Arabidopsis thaliana: one gene and its partner. The protein of the gene in region 2 interacts with the protein of the main gene of each other region in a pairwise test. Each region holds a gene or a part of one and is shown on either strand. Other genes may lie near its edges.

The links.
Region 1: the proteins of ACS2 (region 2) and GRF3 come close enough for resonance energy transfer, tested with the Arabidopsis thaliana proteins (one study listed by BioGRID).

What each region holds. Positions count from the first base shown.
Region 1 is NC_003076.8:15,406,172-15,414,199, forward strand, and holds GRF3 (general regulatory factor 3), read left to right. Parts: upstream 1-3,512; 5' UTR 3,513-3,640; exon of another isoform or gene 3,641-3,978; intron 3,979-4,078; 5' UTR 4,079-4,105; coding exon 4,106-4,579; intron 4,580-4,657; coding exon 4,658-4,780; intron 4,781-4,867; coding exon 4,868-4,984; coding exon of another isoform or gene 4,985-4,988; intron 4,989-5,060; coding exon 5,061-5,114; 3' UTR 5,115-5,430; downstream 5,431-8,028. Other genes in the region: RAD23D (Rad23 UV excision repair protein family), read left to right, coding at 1-176, 299-451, 545-610, 697-744, 824-930, 1,024-1,102, 1,210-1,329; AT5G38490 (B3 domain protein (DUF313)), read right to left, coding at 5,697-6,791. UniProt on the Arabidopsis thaliana protein: Is associated with a DNA binding complex that binds to the G box, a well-characterized cis-acting DNA regulatory element found in plant genes. Involved in the regulation of nutrient metabolism. Reciprocal negative transcription regulation of miR396.
Region 2 is NC_003070.9:171,562-180,311, forward strand, and holds ACS2 (1-amino-cyclopropane-1-carboxylate synthase 2), read left to right. Parts: upstream 1-4,144; 5' UTR 4,145-4,300; coding exon 4,301-4,471; intron 4,472-4,579; exon of another isoform or gene 4,580-4,645; coding exon 4,646-4,777; intron 4,778-5,030; coding exon 5,031-5,191; intron 5,192-5,463; coding exon 5,464-6,490; 3' UTR 6,491-6,845; downstream 6,846-8,750. Other genes in the region: LEA14 (Late embryogenesis abundant protein), read right to left, coding at 734-983, 1,060-1,265. UniProt on the Arabidopsis thaliana protein: 1-aminocyclopropane-1-carboxylate synthase (ACS) enzymes catalyze the conversion of S-adenosyl-L-methionine (SAM) into 1-aminocyclopropane-1-carboxylate (ACC), a direct precursor of ethylene.

The DNA.
Region 1 (8,028 bases), on a different chromosome or scaffold from region 2:
TTCAGACAGATGTGTATGGTCAAGCAGCATCAAACCTTGTTGCTGGAACTACTTTAGAGTCCACTGTTCAGCAAATTCTTGATATGGGTGGAGGTAGTTGGGACCGTGACACTGTTGTTCGTGCTCTGAGAGCTGCGTTCAACAATCCTGAAAGAGCTGTTGAATACCTGTACTCGGTATGATTCATTCCACTTCTTGATTTTACGTTTTTCTTTGATATATTGTATCTACCTTTGATTTGCGGTTTGCCAGAATTTAAGCAACATTTGCTCTTGAACTTTTGGTTGATACATTTCAGGGTATCCCTGCTCAAGCTGAAATCCCACCAGTTGCTCAAGCCCCAGCTACTGGGGAACAGGCAGCCAATCCTCTAGCACAGCCCCAACAAGCAGCAGCTCCAGCAGCTGCAACTGGTGGTCCAAACGCAAATCCATTAAACCTGTTCCCCCAGGTAGGGTTTTTAAACTGGTGAACCGATTTCATTTGCTCGTTTTCCCTTGTGAATTTGTTTTATTGACATCCACTCTTATCTGTCTCTATCCAGGGCATGCCCGCTGCAGATGCTGGTGCTGGAGCTGGTAATCTTGATTTCCTGCGTAACAGTCAACAGGTATTTTCAATTTCTTTTCCATTCGAGAACGGAAATCTTCATTTCTCTCCTCTTATGTCATTTGCAATTCTTTTGCCTTTTCATAGTTCCAAGCCTTGCGAGCTATGGTACAAGCAAACCCACAAATTCTACAGGTAAAATTTTTAACCTCTTATTCTTTATTTGGTAGGTTATATGATATTGATTTCCCACTTATACTGTTTCGTTTTGCAGCCTATGCTTCAGGAGCTCGGTAAACAAAACCCCCAGCTTGTGCGACTAATTCAAGAGCACCAGGCTGACTTCCTACGCTTGATAAACGAACCTGTCGAGGGAGAAGAGTGGGTTTAATATCATGATTCTCCTTTACGTTTTCATTTTATTCTTTTTTCTCAATAAAGCATGTAATCTGACATTTCATTCGATGCCACCAGGAATGTTATGGAACAGTTGGAAGCAGCAATGCCACAAGCTGTTACCGTTACACCTGAAGAGCGTGAAGCCATTGAACGGGTTTGTTCCTATGATCTTTACATTTGTACCTTTACTAGATGCTCTGGTTCCTCAAAATATATGGCTTGTATTGAAATTTGATTTTGCTGTTGTTTGTTTTGGTTTAGCTTGAAGGGATGGGGTTTGATCGTGCGATGGTCTTGGAAGTGTTCTTTGCGTGTAACAAGAATGAAGAACTTGCAGCTAATTACCTTCTAGATCACATGCATGAGTTTGAAGATCAATAAACAGAGCAAATCCATTCCTCCCTCTAAACTCAGACCATCTTTCTGTTTCTTTTTCTTCTTCTTTTTAATATGATAATCTCTTCTCCAATGCCATTTGACAGTTTCATGTTTATGTTCATGGGAGTTGATGTGTTTATGTTACTATTAAAACTATCATAGTTTATCTGGTTTGAAGATGCTCCTCTTTTATCATATTATTAGCCTTTGAATCCTTCCTCTCTTTAGGTCTCAGATGCACCAATATTAGCTAAGATTAAAAGTGGATATTTTGGTTCTATATGACTCATCTCGAGTTAGGAATGGTATGTCGAATCTGGTTTAACAGATCTGGCCTAAAACGAAACCGCTATTCAGATCCAATTATTGGCGCTTACATTGTTTTCTCATAGCCTCAAGCTATGCAATATCAATTATTGCACATTTGAATTAACACAAACCCATCAATTAATATATCAACAAAAACCCATCATCAATTAACACATCAACACAAACATAAAGACATATAAGTTGCTCATGAAGAACTTATAATGGTGGAACCAGTGAGCCTTTGAGATCTGTCATAATCGTCTCTGAAATTGTCTCAAATCGAGAGAGAAATGAGAAATCTTAAAATTTTACCCTAAATAATTAAACCCTAGCTTTTAATTATTACTGCACAAATTATGTCTAAATAATTTTGCCCATTTACTAGCGAGCTTATATGGTTTGTAATCCATTTTAAACACTTTAATTTTGGGCTTCACCAAAACCCAACCATTATTATTTGGACGTGGACATCCCATGGTCAGAAAACTCATTCGATAACCCTACATTTGATGATCAAAGTGGCACGGAAGCTCGTTCGATCTACAAGTTTTGTGGTGAGGAGACTTCTCAGTTTTTCTTCTAGTGTGGTTGTACTTCAGGTAAATTCTTTTCAATACTTAGTGGAATTTTTCGCTAACTGTTTTGTGTAAATAAGGACGAGGCCTCCATAGCGTTCAGTGCTTTAACAATGCCGTATCCACTCTGCTAATCTTGGATTTCAAGAGGTATGACAGTTTGTGTTGTGATAGGAGCCTTCATTAAATTAAATAATTTCAACAATTTATTTATTTTTAGAACCAAAAGATTTTTCAAAAATTTTGATTATCAAAAAAAAATCCAACAGATTTTCTGTTAAAATGAAAATATATATTAGATTGTTTTTAAAAAAAATCATCTGCCGGAATTTGAATCTGGACATGCTTATTTTCAAAAAAACATTTTAGCTAATGTGCTAGTGCATATGTTTTTGCTAAGGTATGAATTTAAATTGGATATATAGATCAATTTATTTATTTTAAAACCAAAAAAAATTTAAAAAGAAACTTAGCGGGATATAAAATAAATATATATTAAATTTAAAAAAAAAAGATTTTCCGCTACGGGAATTTGAACCTGAAAATGCTGATTTTTAAAGAAAATTTAGCTAATGTGCTACATGAGATGTTTTTTTTGCTAAAGTATGAGTTTAAATTGGATATATACATCATTCAATTTATTTTTCTAATCTAGAATTTGCTTTCCTAGGACAAATATAGGTACTGAATTATTAAAGAACATATTTTTTGGTAAGATATAAGTGAGTTTTTATATAATTTTGATGATTTTAGGTAAGTTGATGTGATTTACTGTAAAGTCTTTTCAAATTCTATCTAAAACTATGAGATTTAGATTTCTGTATTTTTAACTAAAGAAGTCTTTTCAAATCCTTTCAAATCCTTCAAAATTAATAAGAATCAAATCCACTAACTATTTTCAGTAACAGTAAAAAGGTTGATTTTTAAATTTTTAATTTAATAACACTCAATTTCATTTAAAAATTTAAAATCCATAATTAAATAACATAAAATTTATAAATTTTACATAAATTATTAGATTGAATACACCGCTCTAAATATACACAATGTAAAAAGTCTGTTTAAGATCAATTATAGATTTAACTTAAATCTAAAGGCCCATAATACCGTCCTGTACATCATATAGTTATCTCAAGTTGTAATACTGTAATACCCGTTGGGCCCAGTGGCCCATTTATCAGATTTCAAATAACAGATCTCAACACTAGCATGGCTACACACGTGTCAGATTCAATGCATCAGTCATATCTTCAGCATCCAACACTTGTCAACCTTCCATTGGATCTCTTAACTCTACGCCTCGAAAACAGTTTTTATTTATTTATCATTCCATTTCTCATTGTATCTTCATCAGTCTCTTCTTATTCCATTTTTTCAAACCACTTGCAAAATTCGAATCAGATCTTCTCTTCAATCGAAAAAAAAGAAAGGTAAATCTCTCTCTCTCTAATCATCGTTCGTTTCGTAGTTTCTTCTTCTACGTGTAGATCTGATCTTTGATTGTATGTTTCTGGAGATCTCGATCTCATCGATTCTCTGTTCTTATCACTGATTCAGTGTGTTTGATATCTAAATCCGATTTGTGTGTAGGATGTTAAAATTTAGGTTTCGGTTTTGTTTCTGCTTTTGAACGATTTTGCTCTAGATTCGTTATCCGTGAAGAACATAGACGAGTATGTAGATCTTACTTCGGATTCGCGTTGAAGAATTTTCTCTAGATTCGTCACCTATGAAGAAGATTCATTGTGTTCTTAATCTAGATGATTAGGTTATTGTTTCGACTCATTTGTTTATGCCTATTTTCTCTATGTTCTTAATCGGTGAAGAAATGTATCAATGTGTGTATGTTTTGGGTTCTGATTTTGTAGGATTTGCTCTAGATTGTTGAATCGAAGATGTCGACAAGGGAAGAGAATGTTTACATGGCGAAATTAGCCGAACAAGCTGAACGTTACGAAGAAATGGTTGAATTCATGGAGAAAGTTGCGAAAACTGTTGATGTTGAGGAACTTTCAGTTGAAGAGAGGAATCTTCTCTCTGTTGCTTACAAGAACGTGATTGGAGCGAGAAGAGCTTCGTGGAGAATCATTTCTTCGATTGAGCAGAAAGAAGAGAGCAAAGGGAACGAAGATCATGTTGCTATTATCAAGGATTACAGAGGAAAGATTGAATCCGAGCTTAGCAAAATCTGTGATGGGATTTTGAATGTTCTTGAAGCTCATCTTATTCCTTCTGCTTCACCAGCTGAATCTAAAGTGTTTTATCTTAAGATGAAGGGTGATTATCATAGGTATCTTGCTGAGTTTAAGGCTGGTGCTGAAAGGAAAGAAGCTGCTGAAAGCACTTTGGTTGCTTACAAGTCTGCTTCCGTAAGTCATTCTTTACAACGTTTTTGAATGTTGTTTTCTTTTGTGGGTATGATTGATTTTGTTGTTGTGATAATGCAGGACATTGCCACTGCTGAGTTAGCTCCTACTCACCCGATAAGGCTTGGTCTTGCACTCAACTTCTCTGTGTTTTACTATGAAATCCTCAACTCGCCTGATCGTGCTTGCAGCCTCGCAAAGCAGGTTTGTGTAGTACACCTGATTTTCACTTTTTGCTTCGTGTGTTATTATTATCTCAGTGAATGAAACAGCTATTTTGGGTTTGTGCAGGCGTTTGATGATGCAATCGCTGAGTTAGATACATTGGGTGAGGAATCATACAAGGACAGTACACTGATTATGCAGCTTCTTAGAGACAATCTCACTCTCTGGACTTCAGATATGACTGTAAGTATTAACAACACAATATACGTTGATCACTAAGTTATGTTGTTGACATGATGGTTTCTTTTTTGGTGAATAGGACGAAGCAGGAGATGAGATTAAGGAGGCATCAAAGCCCGATGGTGCCGAGTAAACCCGAAGAAGAGGAAGAGTCATTTTATAATGGTAGAAAACTTTCATGTGATAATCTGAGTGAGGGATAGCTCAGGATTCTTATAAGAGACACAGTTTTATTGTTGTTTGTTTGTTTTGAAACTACTTGCGATTTATCATTCCTCCTTTAGCTTCCTCAATATTTCCTATTCTCCTTTCTAATGAAATCAAAACTTGGTTATTTCTGATATGGTAGTTGTCTTTATTTTCTATTTTTTTGGTTATTGATTTGATCAACTAAAAAAGTGTGATAACTTTCTCAAATTGATTAATTAATGTACGAAAACACTTGCTGCAAATGGATCACTTCCATGACATTATACTTTGATATAATATATTACAAGAAATAAAAGGTAACTAAAGTAGAGAAAACAAGAAACCATATTTATAACAAAATATTTCATTTCAAACAATGGTAAAAGATCTCAGATAACATAGGAGACAGACAAGTTACTACTAATAAAGGAGAGAACCACACCAAAATCCTAATCTTGTTAATTAACACTTCCAATAAGTTACTGAAACTCAAAATCACTGAATAAGCTAGTGAACAAGTGAAGAGCTACTCTGTGTCAAGTGCAAAGCAGAGGACTCCACGGCACCTGAAAGTCCAAAGGCTGATCTTGTCGCCGACTTTTAAGCTGCTACTTTTGACGACATCATTCCAACCCCAATTCAAAGTGTAATTCAATGTTCCATGTCCAGAGTCCTTCTCCATCGCCCATATCTTGAAACGCAAACCCCACTTTTGAAATCTTTGGTTCACAAGAACCGTTCCCACACCAATATTCTCGTCGTCTTCTTCATCATTGTCTTCGTCTTTCTGCATAGCTCTACACTCCGCAGGAGTCAGGAAATCGTTTCTGATTAGCTTCTGGAAAGGCATTAAGAGACGACTAAGGTTTGAGTTGACATCACTCTTAAACAGAGTCCTCTCAAATATCAGCCTCGGGGTTTCAGCATCAGCGTTCATGTATCTCATCACTTGGAAAATCCACTCAGGCATCTCTGTACACAACCTTGGCAAAGGAGAAACCTTAACTTTCTTGACTTTACCACTCTTCCTCTGCTCCACGGCACGCCTCTTGCGGTTTGTCTTCCCTGTTAGGCATGAAGACGGAGACGAAGATTGGTAATTAGGGTTTGGTACGTCTTTTGTCTCTGTCGAAGGTTCAAGACAAGGAAGGTTCAGGAGCGATGAAGAAGAAGTAGAAGCTCCATTAAGATTATCAAAGAGTTTCTTTTCACTCTCGTCATCATAATCTTCATCGTAGACAATCTTGGATTTACCTTTCTTTAAACGTTGTTCTTCATCACACACCATAGGTTCATCAAAACAAGGGTTTTGTAGGTTGTCTGTCTCAAAATCAGTAGGGATTAGGTTAAGATCGGGAAGCGATGACGAACAAGTAGAAGCCCCATTAGGGTTTTGTTGTGTGTATCTTCTCTTCGCCAAAGACGATTTGATTTTCCTCGGGAAAAGATAGAAGAAACTCATCTTGCACTTGGATTCTTCTCGTTTCTCTGCAAGAAGACGACTACGTTGTTCTTCTTCCTCCGCAACCATAACCGTCACATACGCCAGTAAACTTAAACCCGACGACATATTCTTCCCCGAATCCGTGAGATGATTATCGTGATACATAATACTACTCATCGTGATTGAATCGAAAGACTGGAAAGTTTCTGAGAGCGACGACGTGAGGAACAAGAAACTTGTATATAGAGAGACGAGAAACTGATCGACGATTAGAAAAGAAGTACCTTCTCTTGCCTTATATATACTTTACAATAGGGTTTCAGGTTTCTTTGTTTTCCTATTTCTCCATTGAGTTTAGTTGTTTAATTACTGTCATTAGTAACTAATTATAGCCGTTGTGATCAAGTGTTTCCTTTTTCACAAGTGTGAGAGATAGTGAATTTTTAGGAAGTTTCCTTTCCTTTCAAATTTCAATAGCTTTGCTTCACTTTTTTGTATTTGATGTATTATTATATTTTTTGGGCACTTGCCGACTTTGATATAAATTAAATAAAATGCAGAAAACAGTGGAGTCTCAAAAAAATTCAGATCTTTAGAAAAACAAAACCAATATTGTTGTCGATTGAATCGAAAATAGTTTCGAGTATCCATTTATCATCAAAAAAAAAAAAAAAACAATTCCTTGAATAATTTTTATGTTTTTTGAATTTTATTGGATGTACGTACATAATCATTTCAACAAAATTGCATAAAAATAGTTGATGCAAAACCAAATATGGGGAGAAAATTCAAATAGTTTTCTCAATTTGAGGTAACTACGAAATTGCCCCACATCCTTTAGTAATTACGAATTGGACCTAAAACTATAGATAATTACGATTTTTTCCCTCGAATAATAACGAAATTGCCTCAGTTATTTCGTTATTTGTTAATGCACCCCACATCTCTCGGTAATTACAAAATTTCTGCAAATCTTCCAAAATGAAATTTCTGGTAATTTCTTATTTGGTAAACTACGAATGAACAACAAAGAACAATGAATTGGTAAAATACACATTTTGGAATACTCAATCTCTCATATTATTGCTTATCCACAATCAAATCACACAATTGTAACAATGAACAACAAAGAACAATGAATCAACAAGAACAAATGAAATTAGAATCTTCGCTCACATCCCTCAGATTATAATCGCACCCTTCACAGTCTCATAGCGAATGAATCAACATGCCTTGCTCTGTAACCGCTCCTCATATTTATAGATGCCTCTGATACTTGCTTATTTCACAAGCTTCCCTCTGTTTCCTCACGTGCCTTGCACACACACTCTTATCATGCATTCGCAGTCATTAAACAGTGTCATAGTTATTCTTTATGGTTACAAGTGTGGGGTTGGTGACTGATGAAGACAAC
Region 2 (8,750 bases):
GAGGAGGAATGGATCATCATCTTTTGTTCTCACTGATCCTTGTTACTTAATTTCAGAACATCTCCGCTGATTACGGATTTTGCAACTTCAAAACGCTCATTCTCGATATCGCTCCGGATGAGTATTACCAAACGTATCATCAGATTGACAAACGCAGGTTACTTAATTATACTTCTGATTTCGATTCTTGTTTTCTTTTGTTGGTTGTCAAGAGTAGAGTCATTTTTCTAAGTCTTTTTTATGGTTACTTGTTGTAGCTCCCAAGCTGGCAGAGGGAATGACCGGAGGAACGTTTCCAAATTAGAATCAAATCACAAAACCAAAAATTAAAAAAAAATCTTATTTTGTCGGCAATGTTTTTTAGATATTTCATCTTATGACAACTATGTATTCGGAAATCTTGCAAAACTGGATGATTTAGATGTGAAAATATTCAGCGCTTAATGAATTAAATCCGGTTAACCAGACCAAGCAGAATTAAAATGGAAACCGATAAATCAGAACAAAACAGAACATATCTTTTGGTTTTCATATCAAACCAAATTGAATTATAAGATTTTGCCTTGGATTTTGGTTTGGTTTCTTATGCAACTTCCCAAAAGAACTGATCTGTCCAAACTTATGATATGGCAAAATAACATTTTATTAGTTATAGCAAACCCAACTTATTACATTACGATCATCACCATTCACCATCATAACGATGTGTGGTCTTATATATAGGTTTTGTCGATCAGAAGAAATCTTTAAAAGTAGGAAGTTTGATTTCTCCCTTACTAGAGATAGGGATAGTAAATTCCCCTACAACAGGAAGGTCGATGGTTAGACCGATTTGGAGCTCGTAGTCAATGTCCCAGTCCACACCAACGTCTCGAGCCAGGTTAAACAGTATACTATACGGCACCACCACGGGAATATCAAGAGCCGTCATGTCCTTAGCTTTCAGAGAACCCGGGTCCGGTATCTTCCCCTTTCCAATCTCCCTGTTTACAAATAATTAGATCTCTGTTGTTTACAAAATCTAACAAAGAACCAAACGACGGAGTTAGTAGGTTTTACCTGCCGGCGCTGTGGAAAGTGAAACTGATCTCACAGATCGGAATCGAATGACTGTAAGGATTGGTGACAGAGACTTTGGCCAAGTACTCAACTGAGTCACGGTTCACGTCTTTGAGGTCAACGTCCGTAACTGAACCCTCCGGTTTAGGGATCGCGGTGAGTTTATCCGCCACGAAGTCCTTGGCTTTATCTAGCAAGCTCGCCATAATAACTCTTCTTGTTTAAATCTCTTTGTTTTTGTTTCGGTGTTTTAGGTTTGTGTGTATGATATGAAGTTTAACTTGGAATATATATATAAACGGATGGGATTACGATGTTCTTATGAAGTCGGTCGATGTAAATGGATTAAATTTTATAATGGTTTGTGTACGTGTGAGGGTTTTCCACGAGTGAGAGTGAAAGCGTGGGTTATACGTGTCTTCTGCTTGATTTTTGATTTTTTCGTTACATGACAACAATATTTTATTTCAAAAATATATCATTCATGAAAATAGATATTTTGTTTGCAGTTATAGCTAAACTAGATAATTAAATACCTTTTTAGATAGTCACACGATAAATTTAATACCAAAAAAATGGAAAGTATTATACAAAACTAAAAGAGGGAAAAGTATTCGCGTAAGGAATAAGATGCGCAAGGGATTAATGGACCGACCATGTCCCCCCATATGCACGTCGGTGGAATGTAGTAGTACTCCCATGCATTGCGGTACACTATATGGACAATGCACTTATGACCCGTATTGGTATGGGTTTCTGATGGATATTAAGGTCAAACTTAAATGGGCCACAGGCCATAAGCCCATTCAAATTTGTAACTGGACTATGATCACTGTGAAGTCGTGAATCTTCTTCTCTTAAAAACAAAACTTTGACATGATCACTGTGAAGTCGTGCACTGTAGGCATGTCACGTGTTGATGGATGATTAGTGGAAAGGGATTGGAAGAAGCGTGTCCAATTAGTCGACAGCTGCGGAATGGAAAAACTGAGTCAGCATTTATGTTAAGAAGTCAAACCTACGCCTCGCATGGTTTGTTAGTTAATTTGACTTATTGACCAGTCAAAGCATGCTTTGACATTTTAGTGATACACAAATTTTATAATATAAATCCGCAAACACTAGATTATATTCACACTTCTCTTTAATTAGTGTTTGGTTCCACGATTTTCAACGGCCGATTGTACTTTTTGGTTGCAAAATTTTACAAAACGGTACCTTTTGTTTTGTACATTTTAAAAATCAACTTATTATTTATTGGCATCTATAGTTAGGGAAAACGTTTCAATTGAACATGTACGTGTGCATAAATCAAAATTTTATTTAAAATATACAGATTCGCTTAAGGAGTATAATAACACTCCACGAACGAAATTGTTATGTATATATTACATATATAATTTGTAATCAGTGAATTAAGACATTCAAATAATTGAAATTAATTAAACTTTTACCAAGAAAATAAATTTGATAAATAATAATTGAAATTTTGGAATGATATCAAAACTGCCGAAAGCACATATGTCGGTGTTGGTAGTTGGCGGGCCAATTAGTATACGAATACGAACTCCTTGTTCGGTGTTTCTTTTACAAATTATTTTCTTTTATTCATAATCTATTTCTAATTCATTAGATGTTTCTTACCTGCATTTCATGAGAAACACATCCAAAAAAAAAAACTATTTACAAACAAAAAGTTCTTCTTAGACAAAATAATATATTCACAAAGCTACAATGTTTCCAAACTTGATAAGAGAATATTAGTTTAGGACTGTCTTTAATTATTGTTTACACAAGGGATTCGTAGGATCCCAAAAAACAATGGGTTCGTTGGTTTTGTTTGAAAGTGTAGATGTAACGACTCCAAATAGCCAAAAGTTGATATCTTCAGTCTATATTATTGAGATCTTATGTCCCCCCTGTAATTAATTTTTCCAGCAATGCGTGCTTAAAGAATATTGTTTGAGACTTTAGTTATTGTAATACGACATTAGTATAAGTAGAGCCAAAATCAGATTTTAATATCTTTAGTCTTAAGACATGAAACAAGATTAAGAAAATACCTTGTTTTCAAAGAAAACGGTTATAAAAAGGAGGATTTGAGTTTTTGACATTCAGACGATAAAAATTATGAACTAGGTCTAGTCACGTGGTCGACGCGTGAGAGTTTCCGGCGTGAACTGCAAGTAAAATCACGTAGAGCATGTGATTGACTTGACCAAAGAGTCCAAACCCACCAACTACAAAAAAAAATCAAGATATAAATAACTAACTCTCACTAGTCACTAATATAATTTTTCATTACAATTCATATATGATCTACTAACAATTGTTGTGGTTATACAAACAAAAAATTTATTTTTCGTAAGACGGAAATTTTGAAATCAAATTCCTCAACACTCAAATGAATATTCAGTAGTAGTTTATCAATGACTAGATTAGATATTTCTTAACGCCAGTCAAATTTTGGAATTATGTGGAGGACGTACGTTTATACATGTGCAGACTACAACATACCAAATGTTTTATTAAACCAAATTACAATGTTGCAAATTGGTCTATTCTTTTGAATAATCTGATACATTTTATCTCATAACTTTCTTCCTTTTTATTTGAATTCAATCAAATAATATTCTCCACATCCCCAACCTTCTTTTTTTTTTTGCATGACTAAGTAGTTTAAGGTCAACATTTTTCATAAGAAGTTGCTTAGAAATAGCCTTGGGTTCAAATAAAATACACATGATTTTCCCGTTTCCACCAATAAATCCCAATGGATTTTAATACTGAAACGGAAATCAATGCGAAACTATTGGAGTAAGACCAATTTATTCATCTTAATCTACCAAATTCGGATACGATATGTTTAATACAAGGGAGATTGATGCTAGCAAAACACAACCATCTTAATTTTTTTTTTTTTTTTTTAATTAGAAATTCCCTTCCCAAATGGTAATTCAATCGTAACAAAAGTACGTTTTGAAATATTGTTTTGGATGGAGATTTTTTCCTTGGTTCGCTTGTTACTTTTCACTTGTTTCATCAAATCCTAACTCCTTTTATTTTGGACCCCACATCAACTTTATTTGGTCTCCTCAAGGTTTCTGTTTCAACTCCTATATAAAAGCAAATAACTCATACGTTAATTAGTACACACCACAAAAACTTGTCATAAGATCAATATCGATACCCCCAAAAAAAAAAAAAAACAGCTACAAAGAAGTGAGAATTGACACAGCAAATGGGTCTTCCGGGAAAAAATAAAGGTGCAGTTTTGTCGAAGATAGCGACTAACAATCAACACGGAGAGAACTCAGAGTACTTTGATGGATGGAAAGCTTACGACAAAGATCCTTTTCATCTTTCCCGTAACCCCCATGGGATCATCCAAATGGGTCTTGCAGAGAATCAGGTACAGATTATATATAATCCAATAAATCATGTTATATGTTGTTGTCGTTGTGCATGAACTTCCATCTATTAGCTATTATATATGAACACGTATACACATCAAGCTAATACCTTTTTTTCTTCTTTTCAAGTCAAGTTAAATACTTAATAACACATTTTTCTAAACTTCTTACAGCTTTGCTTAGATTTGATCAAAGATTGGGTCAAAGAGAACCCAGAAGCTTCTATTTGCACCCTTGAAGGTATTCATCAGTTTAGCGACATCGCTAATTTCCAAGACTACCATGGTCTTAAGAAGTTTAGACAGGTACTATAAATCATTCATTATTCAGATATCTTGTAATCAGCTACGGACATATTAGAAAAACAATTTTTACATGGAAAGTTAATAACACCTCTAAACAATCAGTTGATATGATCTGCATAAGAAAAACAAATTCAGTCGTGGTTTTTTTTTTTTTTTTTTTTTTTTTTTTTTTTTTTTTGTTAAAGATTCGTGTTGCATTTAATTAGTAACTTATTTTATAAACTTATCCCTAATATAAATTTTGGAATTGAAGGCAATTGCACATTTCATGGGAAAAGCTAGAGGTGGAAGAGTGACTTTTGATCCGGAGAGGGTGGTTATGAGCGGAGGAGCCACCGGAGCCAATGAAACAATCATGTTCTGCCTTGCGGATCCCGGCGACGTTTTCCTCATTCCCTCCCCGTACTATGCCGCGTAAGCATTGTTAAAAACATTAATCACATTTTTAAGAGAAAATAGTACTAGTATATGATAATGGATAATGGTTAGGACAGATTTCATTAATGTTACTTTCACATACTTTTTTGGGGTTAACAAATTCTAAATCGAAATGAGTTATTAGTATCAAGTTTTGACTCTTTTGCCAAACTTTATCACACGTGTACGATATATCCATTCAATAGCGGTTTTAATTGAACGACAAGCTCTCATACGTGTGATAATTAATGATTTAATCCTTTCCGCAGATTTGATAGAGACTTGAGGTGGCGGACAGGTGTCGAGATAATCCCGGTTCCTTGTTCAAGCTCCGACAATTTCAAATTAACCGTTGACGCCGCGGAATGGGCTTATAAAAAAGCCCAAGAGTCCAATAAAAAAGTCAAAGGTCTGATTTTGACCAACCCATCAAATCCACTCGGTACAATGTTGGATAAGGACACACTCACGAACTTGGTCCGGTTTGTCACGAGGAAGAACATTCACCTAGTCGTCGACGAGATCTACGCCGCCACAGTCTTCGCCGGAGGAGATTTCGTGAGCGTTGCTGAGGTGGTCAATGATGTGGACATCTCCGAAGTCAACGTTGACTTGATTCACATTGTCTATAGTCTTTCTAAAGATATGGGACTTCCTGGTTTTAGAGTCGGGATAGTCTATTCTTTCAATGACTCGGTCGTGTCTTGCGCAAGAAAAATGTCAAGTTTCGGACTTGTTTCGTCTCAGACACAACTCATGCTTGCTTCGATGTTGTCCGATGATCAGTTTGTGGATAATTTTCTAATGGAAAGCTCGAGAAGGTTGGGGATAAGGCATAAAGTTTTTACCACGGGGATCAAGAAAGCAGATATTGCTTGTTTGACAAGCAACGCTGGTTTATTTGCGTGGATGGATTTGAGACATCTACTGAGAGATCGTAACTCGTTTGAATCTGAGATCGAGCTTTGGCATATAATCATCGATAGAGTTAAGCTCAATGTGTCTCCTGGCTCTTCCTTCCGTTGCACGGAACCTGGATGGTTTAGGATTTGCTTTGCCAACATGGACGATGATACTCTCCATGTGGCGCTTGGACGGATCCAAGATTTCGTGTCTAAGAACAAGAACAAGATCGTCGAGAAAGCATCTGAAAATGATCAGGTAATCCAGAACAAGAGTGCTAAAAAGCTGAAATGGACGCAGACCAATCTTCGACTAAGTTTCCGACGACTTTACGAGGATGGTCTCTCGTCTCCAGGGATAATGTCACCACACTCACCTCTTCTCCGAGCATGAAAATCTTAAGGCATAACGTCTGAGAGATTGGATTAACTCGTCCGCGTTTCACTCCGTGTTAATTAATCTTAAATTAGTAAGTGATTAAGTAAATGTTTTTTCTTTCATTGTAAGATTGGAATAATTCAATTTCGACATTAGGGTTGTTTTTGACGGCCAGCTTTTTTCCTGGGGTCAAATGGTAACTTTTAAGATTTTATGTGTTTGATTCTGTTTCTTTTTTCCGCTTAGGATTTTAATCGATGGATTGTCCTAGTGGTGCTGGTGTGTAGCATATATGCTTTTCTTATATGTTTTTGTGTGTAATAAATGAAACATTGTCTTTTGATAAGGATCACCAGAGTTTATTAGTTGGGGAGGTTGATAATGTTTTGTGAGTAATGGAGGATTTGTTAACCTAATTTATTCGATTTTTTCTAGAACCGCATTTTCTTGTTCGCCCAATACGTCACACGAGCATGCCAACATGCCTATCCTTTTTCTAAAATAATCATTATATGTACTAAATTGAACATCCGATTATACAGAGATATAATCAATAAATGCATGTTAAGTTTTATATCTTGGAATTTGCCTTAGCCTATCATATTGTGGGTGATGAAAGATTCATCAGCATTTCAGCTGCACCAAATATGATTAAATTCAACTTATTATTTTGTTACAAAGTGACAAATTTGCTTAGAATAATCAGCTATCAAACATGATGACGTCTCCATCAATTATTCAATAATCGTCAGCTTTCTTTCCCCTTTTTCTTTGTTAATGATAAACCGTCAGCTTGAATGTTATAGTATTTATTTTTGGTCCTCTTTTGGTAAACCATTAGCTATTATTTGATAAAATTTACAGATCTCAGATTGATAAATTTGTTACATATATTATATGCTACTACGACTTTGTTAGGTAATTAAGTGCTGATGGTAAGGCGTGCTTTGGGCCGCCTCTTAGCTGATATTGATACTACACACACGAACAAAAATATATATATATAAGACAAAAATCAAATTTGATACTTGGAAACAACGGTTTGATCCTTTTCACACAGAATAATATGTATCTGGATAATATATAGATATCTCTGTCTAATTATAATCATCGACATTATCGTCGTCATCATCAGTCACAAGTCACAACCAATTCATGATCATCAACAGTAGGTTACGAAACATGATCAAGTTATATATTTATTTTGTTTGGTAGAAAAAATGACATGGGCAAGTTTTTTTTTATATATATATAGTGAATCCTCTTTTTAATATTCAAGGGAACTTTTTTCTGTCTTGGATTTTGTTTTGACTCTAAATAATTCAATACGGCATAAATTGAAAATGATGAAATACCAAATTAAGTTTTCACATGCTCCTTTTAGGTGGCTACCTACCAAAATGTTTTTGACATTTGCATTTGGTTTGAGCCACAACTTGATCTATGACATTTACAATGCACTTGGTTACGTGAAGACTATTTTTAGTAATATATCTTTTAACAAAAAAAAAGATATATTTTCAATAATCTTTTGGTGTCGAAAAAGAAAGAAGTTTGTATGTGGCCGAGATACGGGCATTTTTATTCTTAAGTGGTTTCTAGATTTTTTATTTTTTTTGTTTAGAATAAATTTAGAACTTCACTTTATGCTATTATCCCCTGAAATACAGGTACATTTGTGAAGAAACTAAATAAAAATTAGAACAATTAAAAACGCTTTACCTTCTCCTCTTACAAAATTTCTAAAAGTGACTCATCAGATGATCATGAAGGCCATGCCCTTTCGCTTCGCGCAAAACAGAAGTAAAGATAAATTATCAAGTTTACAGCTGAAATGTTAATAAGCCGCCCAACAACATTTATTCACCTAAGCTAGCACCCACATACATTTAAAAATATATATATTGACCAGATTATGAAAAAACTTTGACAATAACATAGTTATGAAATATACATAACCTTAAGAAGAAGATGACCAGGTTATGAAATAGCAAAATCGAATAAAAACATTGCAGAACTATTGTTCGCAAAACTATTTTGCAATTTCGCCATTCCATTGGCTTCCGAAGAAGTATCAAGCTTTAAAAAGTTACACGACCAACGCATATATATAACACCATTATTTACAGAAAGTTACCTTCAAAGTGAAAAAATAAAATTCTAGTACTATCGACGATATATACACAAAACATATCATCGAAATCGATTTAAGGAAATAAAACTTCCCCGCATTATCGAGGAGACAAAAACATATCCGATCCCATCCGAAGTCTAA